Canis lupus familiaris: one gene and its partner. The protein of the gene in region 1 purifies or fractionates together with the protein of each later gene. This does not show direct contact. Links are inferred from orthologs where the notes say so. Each region holds a gene or a part of one and is shown on either strand. Other genes may lie near its edges. The genes, in order: SSH1 and YWHAE.

The links.
Region 2: the proteins of SSH1 (region 1) and YWHAE purify together in Homo sapiens (affinity purification with mass spectrometry; 3 studies listed by BioGRID and IntAct, with this or other methods). This does not show direct contact. The link is inferred for Canis lupus familiaris from reciprocal best matches to the Homo sapiens genes SSH1 and YWHAE.

Annotation. Positions count from the first base shown.
Region 1 is NC_049247.1:18,468,947-18,472,756, forward strand, and holds part of SSH1 (protein phosphatase Slingshot homolog 1), read left to right. Parts: intron 1-368; coding exon 369-563; intron 564-1,835; coding exon 1,836-1,929; intron 1,930-3,245; coding exon 3,246-3,374; intron 3,375-3,810. UniProt on the Homo sapiens protein: Protein phosphatase which regulates actin filament dynamics. Dephosphorylates and activates the actin binding/depolymerizing factor cofilin, which subsequently binds to actin filaments and stimulates their disassembly.
Region 2 is NC_049230.1:45,528,475-45,532,384, reverse strand, and holds the start of YWHAE (14-3-3 protein epsilon), read left to right. Parts: upstream 1-1,006; 5' UTR 1,007-1,129; coding exon 1,130-1,193; exon of another isoform or gene 1,194-1,833; intron 1,834-3,910. UniProt on the Homo sapiens protein: Adapter protein implicated in the regulation of a large spectrum of both general and specialized signaling pathways. Binds to a large number of partners, usually by recognition of a phosphoserine or phosphothreonine motif.

The DNA of each region.
Region 1 (3,810 bases):
GTACCCACAGCCTCACAAGTCAGTCTGAATTCTTGGGAGTTCATTGATGGAGTGCGAAGTGACATGTGAGCCAGCCTGGGTGGGAGGGTTATGAAGTTTGTTCTGTGTCCTTGTTGGGAATGGTGACGGCTGTCCTATCCACCCTCGGGCTTGAAGCACATGTCTCAGAGACTAGCTCTGTGACCTGGCAGCCTGGAGGTTTTGGGCCGCCTTGTGTTCCCCACATTACCTTATACACACAGCAACTCCCAACTCAAGGTGAGTCCTTGAGGGATCACCCTGCCCCGTTCTCCACTCCTGTGTTGAGGTAAAAGCCTAGCACTCTCTGTACCTCCCCAGGCCTGACCCTGTCCCTGTCCTTACCCTAGGTCTGCCCTGCAGGTCCTTCACAAGGCCTGCGAAGTGGCTCGGAGACACAACTACTTCCCCGGGGGCGTGGCTCTCATCTGGGCTGCCTACTACGAAAGCTGCATCAGCTCCGATCAGAGCTGCATCAATGAGTGGAACGCCATGCAGGACCTGGAGTCCACACGGCCTGACTCCCCGGCCCTGTTTGTGGACAAGTAAGTGCAGTGCTGTCTCGCCTTCACCCTTGCCCACCCCTGTGCTGGGCCAGTCCCTGAGTCGCATGAAGTCACACTTCCCCGTAGCTCTTGATTGAGGGTCTCCTGCCCAGGACCAGCATTCCAAGCAGGGACTCCTAACCTACTGCCCACGGATAATGTTTAGCTTAGAGAAGGATCCGTGACTGCCACCCCACTTGTGAAGCTAGAGACAGATTTGGGGGTGCGTGCATCTCTGGGGAGCAGCTCCATAATGCCCATCAGCTTCTCAAAGGAAAGTGGGACCCACATGTGTCACCGGCTCTTGGGCAGTGTTCTGGGATCTACCCCTTCGTCTCCACGTGGCCAGAGACTTAATTCCCAAAGCCTTTTCCTCTATTCTTAGAAGTATTATACATCCCTCATCCTGGGATCCCAAAACACGACTGCCTCCATGCTGGCCAAAGGCAGCCTGCCTGAGAGGCTGCAACAGTGAATCACGTGGCTTATGTCGTGTGGCCACCGGCAGAGCTCATGCAGCCTGAGGCTGCATAAGTGCAAGTCCAGGTCCAGAAAAAGGAAATGGCTCTCTGCTTCTATCTTGGTCAGGATCCTCCTCCCCTAGACTCCTGTGCGTCCCTCTGGGACTGTGTTACAAGGACTATGGGCAGAGAGGTCAACTTGAATGAGGAGAGGACCGGAAGCCACATTCTGTGAGGCCCCAAATGATGAGAGGGTTGGGGAGAATGATAGTTGCCTTTGAATATATAAAAGGGGCCTCCGTGGAAGAATTAATCCTGGTCTGTGTAGAACCAGGGGCTGATGGGTAGAAGTTACAGGGTAACACAGATTCTCTATGTAAGAAGAAGATAATGGGAGCCGGACATAGTTGGGACTATGGACTGCCTCTAGACACAGTGATGTCCCCACCCCCAGACGTGTTCAGACAGAGACAGAAGGGTCTGGAAGGTGGTGGGTGGACGTTACTCTGGTGCTCCCAGCGTCTTGTCCTGAGAGCCTGATTCTCTGCAGATCTGCACAAGGAATATGCTTTCCAGCCATTGTTTTGTGCTCTCCATCTGCTCACCACTCTGTGGGCTCCCATGGAAGTTCCAGACACAGAGCAGGACCACTCTGTCCCTTTTCCCTCCTCCCAAAAACATGCACACCAAGAAGGTAGCTCTCTGAGTCCAGGCCATGTTCTATGTAGCCTGAGAGCATCTGGTGTTTCTGTAAACACTGATCTCAGGCTCTTTGTCATTCTGCGACTTACTGAATGTCATTTCTTTCCAGGCCAACCGAAGGGGAAAGGACTGAGCGCCTTATCAAAGCCAAGCTCCGGAGCATCATGATGAGCCAGGATCTAGAAAATGTGACCTCAAAAGAAGTAAGAGAGCTCTTCCCTTAGTAGGCCAGAGGTCACACAGTGTTCATTTATCCTGTTGCCCAAAGCACAGAGAGGCCTTCCTTACTGGTCAGCTCAGCGGCTCTCAGAGGCTTTTTCCCCCTGCAGGGCTTAGCAGAGAGAGCGCAGGCTTTAGAGTCTGACTCTAGTTTGGATCCAGCTATGCTGCATACTGATGGGGCCTTGAGCAAATTTCCTGATCTCTCTGAACCTGCAAGACCTTTGGTGATAATTTCACGAGACCTGTGGATTGCAATGGATTGCACCGAGACACGTTTTTCTATTAGTGTCCTTTCCTCTGCGTTGTGTTTTACTGAGATACAGCAAACAAGATCTTGTTTCTTACTTCAGGATTATCACTTACCAGCAAGTTACTGACTCTGGACTGCCTTCTATTGTGCCTTCAAAATTTTTCTGGATCACTTTTCTTTTTTCAGTTGCTTTTGGTTCAAGGAATGCAATGAATTATTATGGTAGCTTAAACTAGGCAGATATAAGGGCTTGGAAGGGCCGTTTAAAAAACCCATATATCAGGACAGCCCAGGTGGCGCAGCGGTTTAGCGCCGCCTTCAGCCCAGGGCCCAATCCTGGAGTCCCGGAATAGAGTCCCACGTTGGGCTCCCTGCACGGAGCCTGCTTCTCCCTCTGCCTGTGTCTCTGCCTCTCTGTCTCTCTGTTTCTGAGTAAATAAATAAAGTCTTTTTTAAAAAAAGCCATATATCATCTTTTATTAGTTAATACACATTAAAAAAATCATATTATGATGCCTCCCAAAGCAAGATGAAAACTAACAGTATGTGTTGCCTGTGATATATTTGATTTTTTTAAAAAAAGATTTTATTCATGAGAGAGACACAGAGAGGCAGAGACCCAGGCAGAGGGAGAAGCAGGCTCCGTGCAGGGCGCCTGTGTGGGACTCAATCCCAGGACTCCAGGATCATGCCCTGGGCTGAAGGCAGATGCTCAACCGCTGAGCCACCCAGGCGTCCCATATATTTGATATTTAATCGTAAAAATATAAGTGCCTTAACTGAGTAGAAGAGATCCCATGTGAATCAGCCTCTTCATATAAAATAATCAGCTTTTCCCAGTCAGGCTGACTTTGAGGCTGTGGGTCCTGCATCTCTACCACCTGCATGTGTGCTTACTATGGGGTAAAAAAACAAACCACAACACCAACAAAACACCTTTTTTGAAAACCACCGCAGTTGAAGTGGTGACTTGACCTCTTTGGAGGTGGGCCACTGTCATTTTGCTTTATGACAAATCACTTTTTCCTGCTGTTTTCCACTCCACAGATCCGTAATGAATTGGAGACGCAGATGAACTGTAACTTGAAAGAATTTAAAGAATTCATAGACAATGAGATGCTCCTTATCTTGGGACAGATGGACAAGCCCTCCCTTATCTTCGACCACCTTTATCTTGTAAGAAGCACAGCGCACGGCAGGGTCTGGTTGGGGGAACATAAATCAACAAACCTTGATTGTTTGAAGTTTGCAGCAAAGTCAGAGAGGGGGAGAGAATTTGTGTTGCTGGAACCTCAATCCTGGCTGTTCTGGGAACTCCTGTCTTTGACCCCCTTCCTCTGGTATGCCCTAGTTTGCTCTCAAGCCAGATGTCTGAGATGTGGCTCCCAGTTGAGCTGTGGGGAATTGTTTGAAGGCTCTCTGACATAGGCCACGTCGGCAGTTCTCAGACTCTCTCCATCCTTGGTCTGCAGTCAGTAACACAGAGGCCCCGTCCAATTTCCTCCACGTGGTTTGAGGGCTCAGAACCCCAGTTCTCACCAAAACCCAGAATTTGCCTGGGCATTGCCGAGATGTGAGAAACAGTAGGGAAGACAGACCGAACCCCCAAAAC
Region 2 (3,910 bases), on another chromosome or scaffold:
CCCAAGGGCTCCCAATCTCCTTTTTTTTTTTATTTTTATTTTTATTTATTTATGATAGTCACACAGAGAGAGAGAGAGAGGCAGAGACACAGGCAGAGGGAGAAGCAGGCTCCATGCACCGGGAGCCCGACGTGGGATTCGATCCCGGGTCTCCAGAATGGCGCCCTGGGCCAAAGGCAGGCGCCAAACCGCTGCGCCACCCAGGGATCCCCCAATCTCCTTTTAATTCCACATCTATTGCACACCCTACCACATAGTTTATATTCGAATCTGAGCTTCAGTTTTGCAACCAATATTTATTGAGTACGAGGTGCTGGGAATCCACTAGGAAGCAAAACAGGCCAGTTCTTTCCCGGTCCTGCCTCCTCAAGCTCGATTTAATCTCCGTCCCACTCTTCCACACCCTGCACTGGACAGGAGACTTCTCTAACAACTTCCTTGTTCCTATCCATGATGGGCTTAAGGCCAAAAAAAAAAAAAAAAAAAACCGCGCTAAAAAGAAGAAAAAGATGGCAAAATGGGAAGGCGAGTTGAGGTGTGAAAACCGGGAGGCCCCTCTCCCCTACTATTTATAGCAGACCCTCACTCTTTACCCCGAGTGGAAAGGATGTGAAAAAGGCCCAGCACTGGGCTTGTTTGAGAAAACAGGGGCCAGGTAGGAGAGAAGTTGGGTTTCCTGAGGAAGGCCTGCCATTACAAAGACCACTACAGGTTTCTCCGCCCCCTGGTGCAGGGGTCGGCCCTCGGTTCACGGACCTGGATCCCTCACTCACTCGCTCGCTTCAGGAGCGGTCCAGGCGGGGCCCCCCACCCCGCCCTCTCTCGGGGCTGCTCTCCTCCCAGGCGTCGCAGTTCCCGCCTCAGCTCTCCAACACCCGCGGAGCCCGTGGAGGAGGGACGTCTAGCTGGTTCCAGCGTCTTCGGGCTCAGAGCTCCCGGACCCGCCCCCCGCGCCAGTTGCCAGGGAGCGGTTGCCATAGAGCTGAGCAGTTGTCCGCGTGCGCAGGCGGAAGTCCCGGATTGAGGCGCCGCCATTTTTGCTGCCCGGACACGGAGCGAGAGGCTGAGAGAGTCGGAGACGCTATCCGCTTCCATCCGTCGCGCAGACCCTGCCGGAGCCGCTGCCGCTATGGATGATCGGGAGGATCTGGTGTACCAGGCGAAGCTGGCCGAGCAGGCTGAGCGATACGACGGTAAGTTGGGGGGGCAACAGGGGGCTGGAATTGTCGGACCCTCTGCCGCCGCCCACAGAGGCCGGGAACAGGAGACAAAATGGCGGCATCGCCTCCGAGCCTGGCCGGGGATGTGGATTCGAGAAGTAGGAGATGGCCTGTGGGCTCCCGGAGCGGTGGCAGGCCCCAGGCCCAGGAATTTGATCCCTTTGGTCTCCTCCGCTGCAGACACTGGCGGGCCAGGAGGCCGAGGCGAAAGGGTGGAGGAGTTGGTTGTAAAATGGCGGCTGGGGGGAGGGCGAGTCCCGGGGCGGGGGAGGGGGAGGAGATGGCGGGTGTTATCTCCCGGCGAGCAGTCCCCAGGGGAGCTTCTGGGTCATCTTGGGATGTGGAGAACAATTGGGTGGGGTGATGGGGGAAAGAAACACTCGCCACATGGGGGAGAGTAGCACCAGGAGCTGCAACGCGGACGCCTATCAGGGAAATATGGCGGGTGGGGGCGGTGGCTTTTCCCCGGAGGCCCAGTGTGGGGCGGCGGCTGTGGAGGCTCACAAAGGAGAATCCTTGCGAGCGGAGGGCAGCTTTGGGTGCGTGGTGGAGGGCAGTCTTGGATGAGGGCTGAGGAAGGACCGTGAGAATCACTGCAGTTCATCTTTGAGCAGAGGCCAACTGAGATGCTGCGATCGGATTTCCTTTCTGTAGGCCGGCACATCTCGTGTTGAGGGTATTCCAGGCTTTATGTTCAACCTCGCCTTCTGGGGAGGTCTAGAAAAATCTCACGATCCCTTTCCTCAGACTTACCCTGGAGAGCTCAAAGTTCCTGTAAGCATTTTCTTGCACCGTTAGTTACGGGTTCTGGTGGATACAGCTTTGTACAGGAAACAAGAGACCATGGCTTAGTCCCTCAATTGCCCAGGCCTCAGTTTACCAGTCTTTAAAAATGATGACTTTCGTGTTTACACTAGACGCGCCGCTGTGACAAATGGAAAGACCTGTTGGAAAATAAAGTTATTTCAAATAACGTTTAGTAACTGTGTTTTGGTTGACTCCCCGGGCTTGGAATGGGTGTTTATACTTCATTGGGAATCTTAACCTATCCCAAGCAATCGCCCGAGGCTTGGGTTTTTGGATTTTGAACATAAGGCTTCCCAGCAGATCCTATTTTATTTTTTCTATTTTAAATAAATGGCTTTGTGTACAGATTTGAACAGTTCTTTGTTCATTGGTTCTTTGCCCCTAAAGGTTCTTTAGTCCTTTTTTTCAGAACTTGATCGAAATGTCCATTGTGTCCGTTTAGTCAGTCTCAGGCTGCTGCTTTTTAAAATTGCCCCCCACTCCCTCCATTTTGGGTCTAGGTACTTGAATTACCCCCATATCCGTTAGATTGTAGTATTATAAAGACACAAATTCTTATATGTGGCTTCTGTGGTTTTAATGCTGTCTGGGGTGAGACAAGGTTGGAATCAAGTGCCATTGATCTTCAGATTTTTTTCGTAATTACTGTGAAGCCACTTTTTCAAAACATTATGTAGGGCCCTTGCTTTCCTTGAATGCCAGATTGGTCATGTGAGTAGCCTCAGGGGTAGTCCCAGTACATCCTCATACCTTAGGATTCAGGAATTTGAAAATCAGGAAAAAAGCCCAAGAACTCAAAATGAGGAAAAGCGTAGTGCACTAAATTTCGTTTTGTAAATCCTTAAATGTCTGCAGTATTGAAGGAGATTCTTGTTGGGAGGGGGAGGGAAAAAAGATGAGGAAGTACAGCTCAAGGTCAGATTTGTCCTTAATTCAGTGTTTAAAAGTGAAACAGTGTAGGTGTGCTGGTAGTGGAAGTTTTTTTTCTTCTTCCCCCTTGTGCACCAAATGGGTTCCTCTGGTAATGCATTGGTGTCCTTGGGAGAAAACTTGAAATTATATTTGAGTGCTTTTTGGTCTGTAAGGATTTAGGCTTTGGCTAAACTTTCTGGGATAACGAAAAGGACGTGGAGGAAGGTTTTTTGTGTCTTTCTTAAAATTTGTTTTAAAAACTTAATTTAGAAGCCCCTGGTTGTAGCTTTCAAATAAGTGCCAGTTTAGTGATCATATTTTGTAGTTGGGTGCTGCGGAATTTTAATGAAAGTCCTTTTTTGGTTATTCAGCATAGCACTGTATAGAGAGAGCCACATCATTAAGTTATTTAAATGTTGTGTCTCCTTCAGGATATAAAGGGGGAAGAATATAGGATCTACCAGGTAGGAGGGACTTATTGGAAAGGAAGAAAAGGAAGGCAGTCATCAGGAATCAGCCTCTACCTGTGTCCATTCCCTTATTGGGTGCAATAATTAACTTTTGTTTGTGGTGACAAAAATTCCCCATAGTTTTAGTCACCGAACAGTATGTGGTTGGGGAGTGGAAGAAAGGAAAAGTGAGTCTGAATGATTTGGGTTTGGATGCTTTGACGTAAGGACTGGCTTTTCTTGTTCCTGCAGTATCTTTTATTTTGCATACTCTGTTGAACCTAATACTTCTGTGTAGCATTATTTAATTATATTTTGGGGAATTGGAATCAATTTATATGGATTACTTAATCGTACTAGAGGAAGAGCTAAGTTGTGTTCAGGAAAAAGACACTTGTGGGTTGCAGATAGGAAATAGGAAGTTTGGAGCTAGGACTCTTCACATTGAACATCCTTTGAAGATTAAATGTAGCCTCTCATCACTTATGAAGTCTGTAGTCTAAGAAGTAGTTTTTATAACAT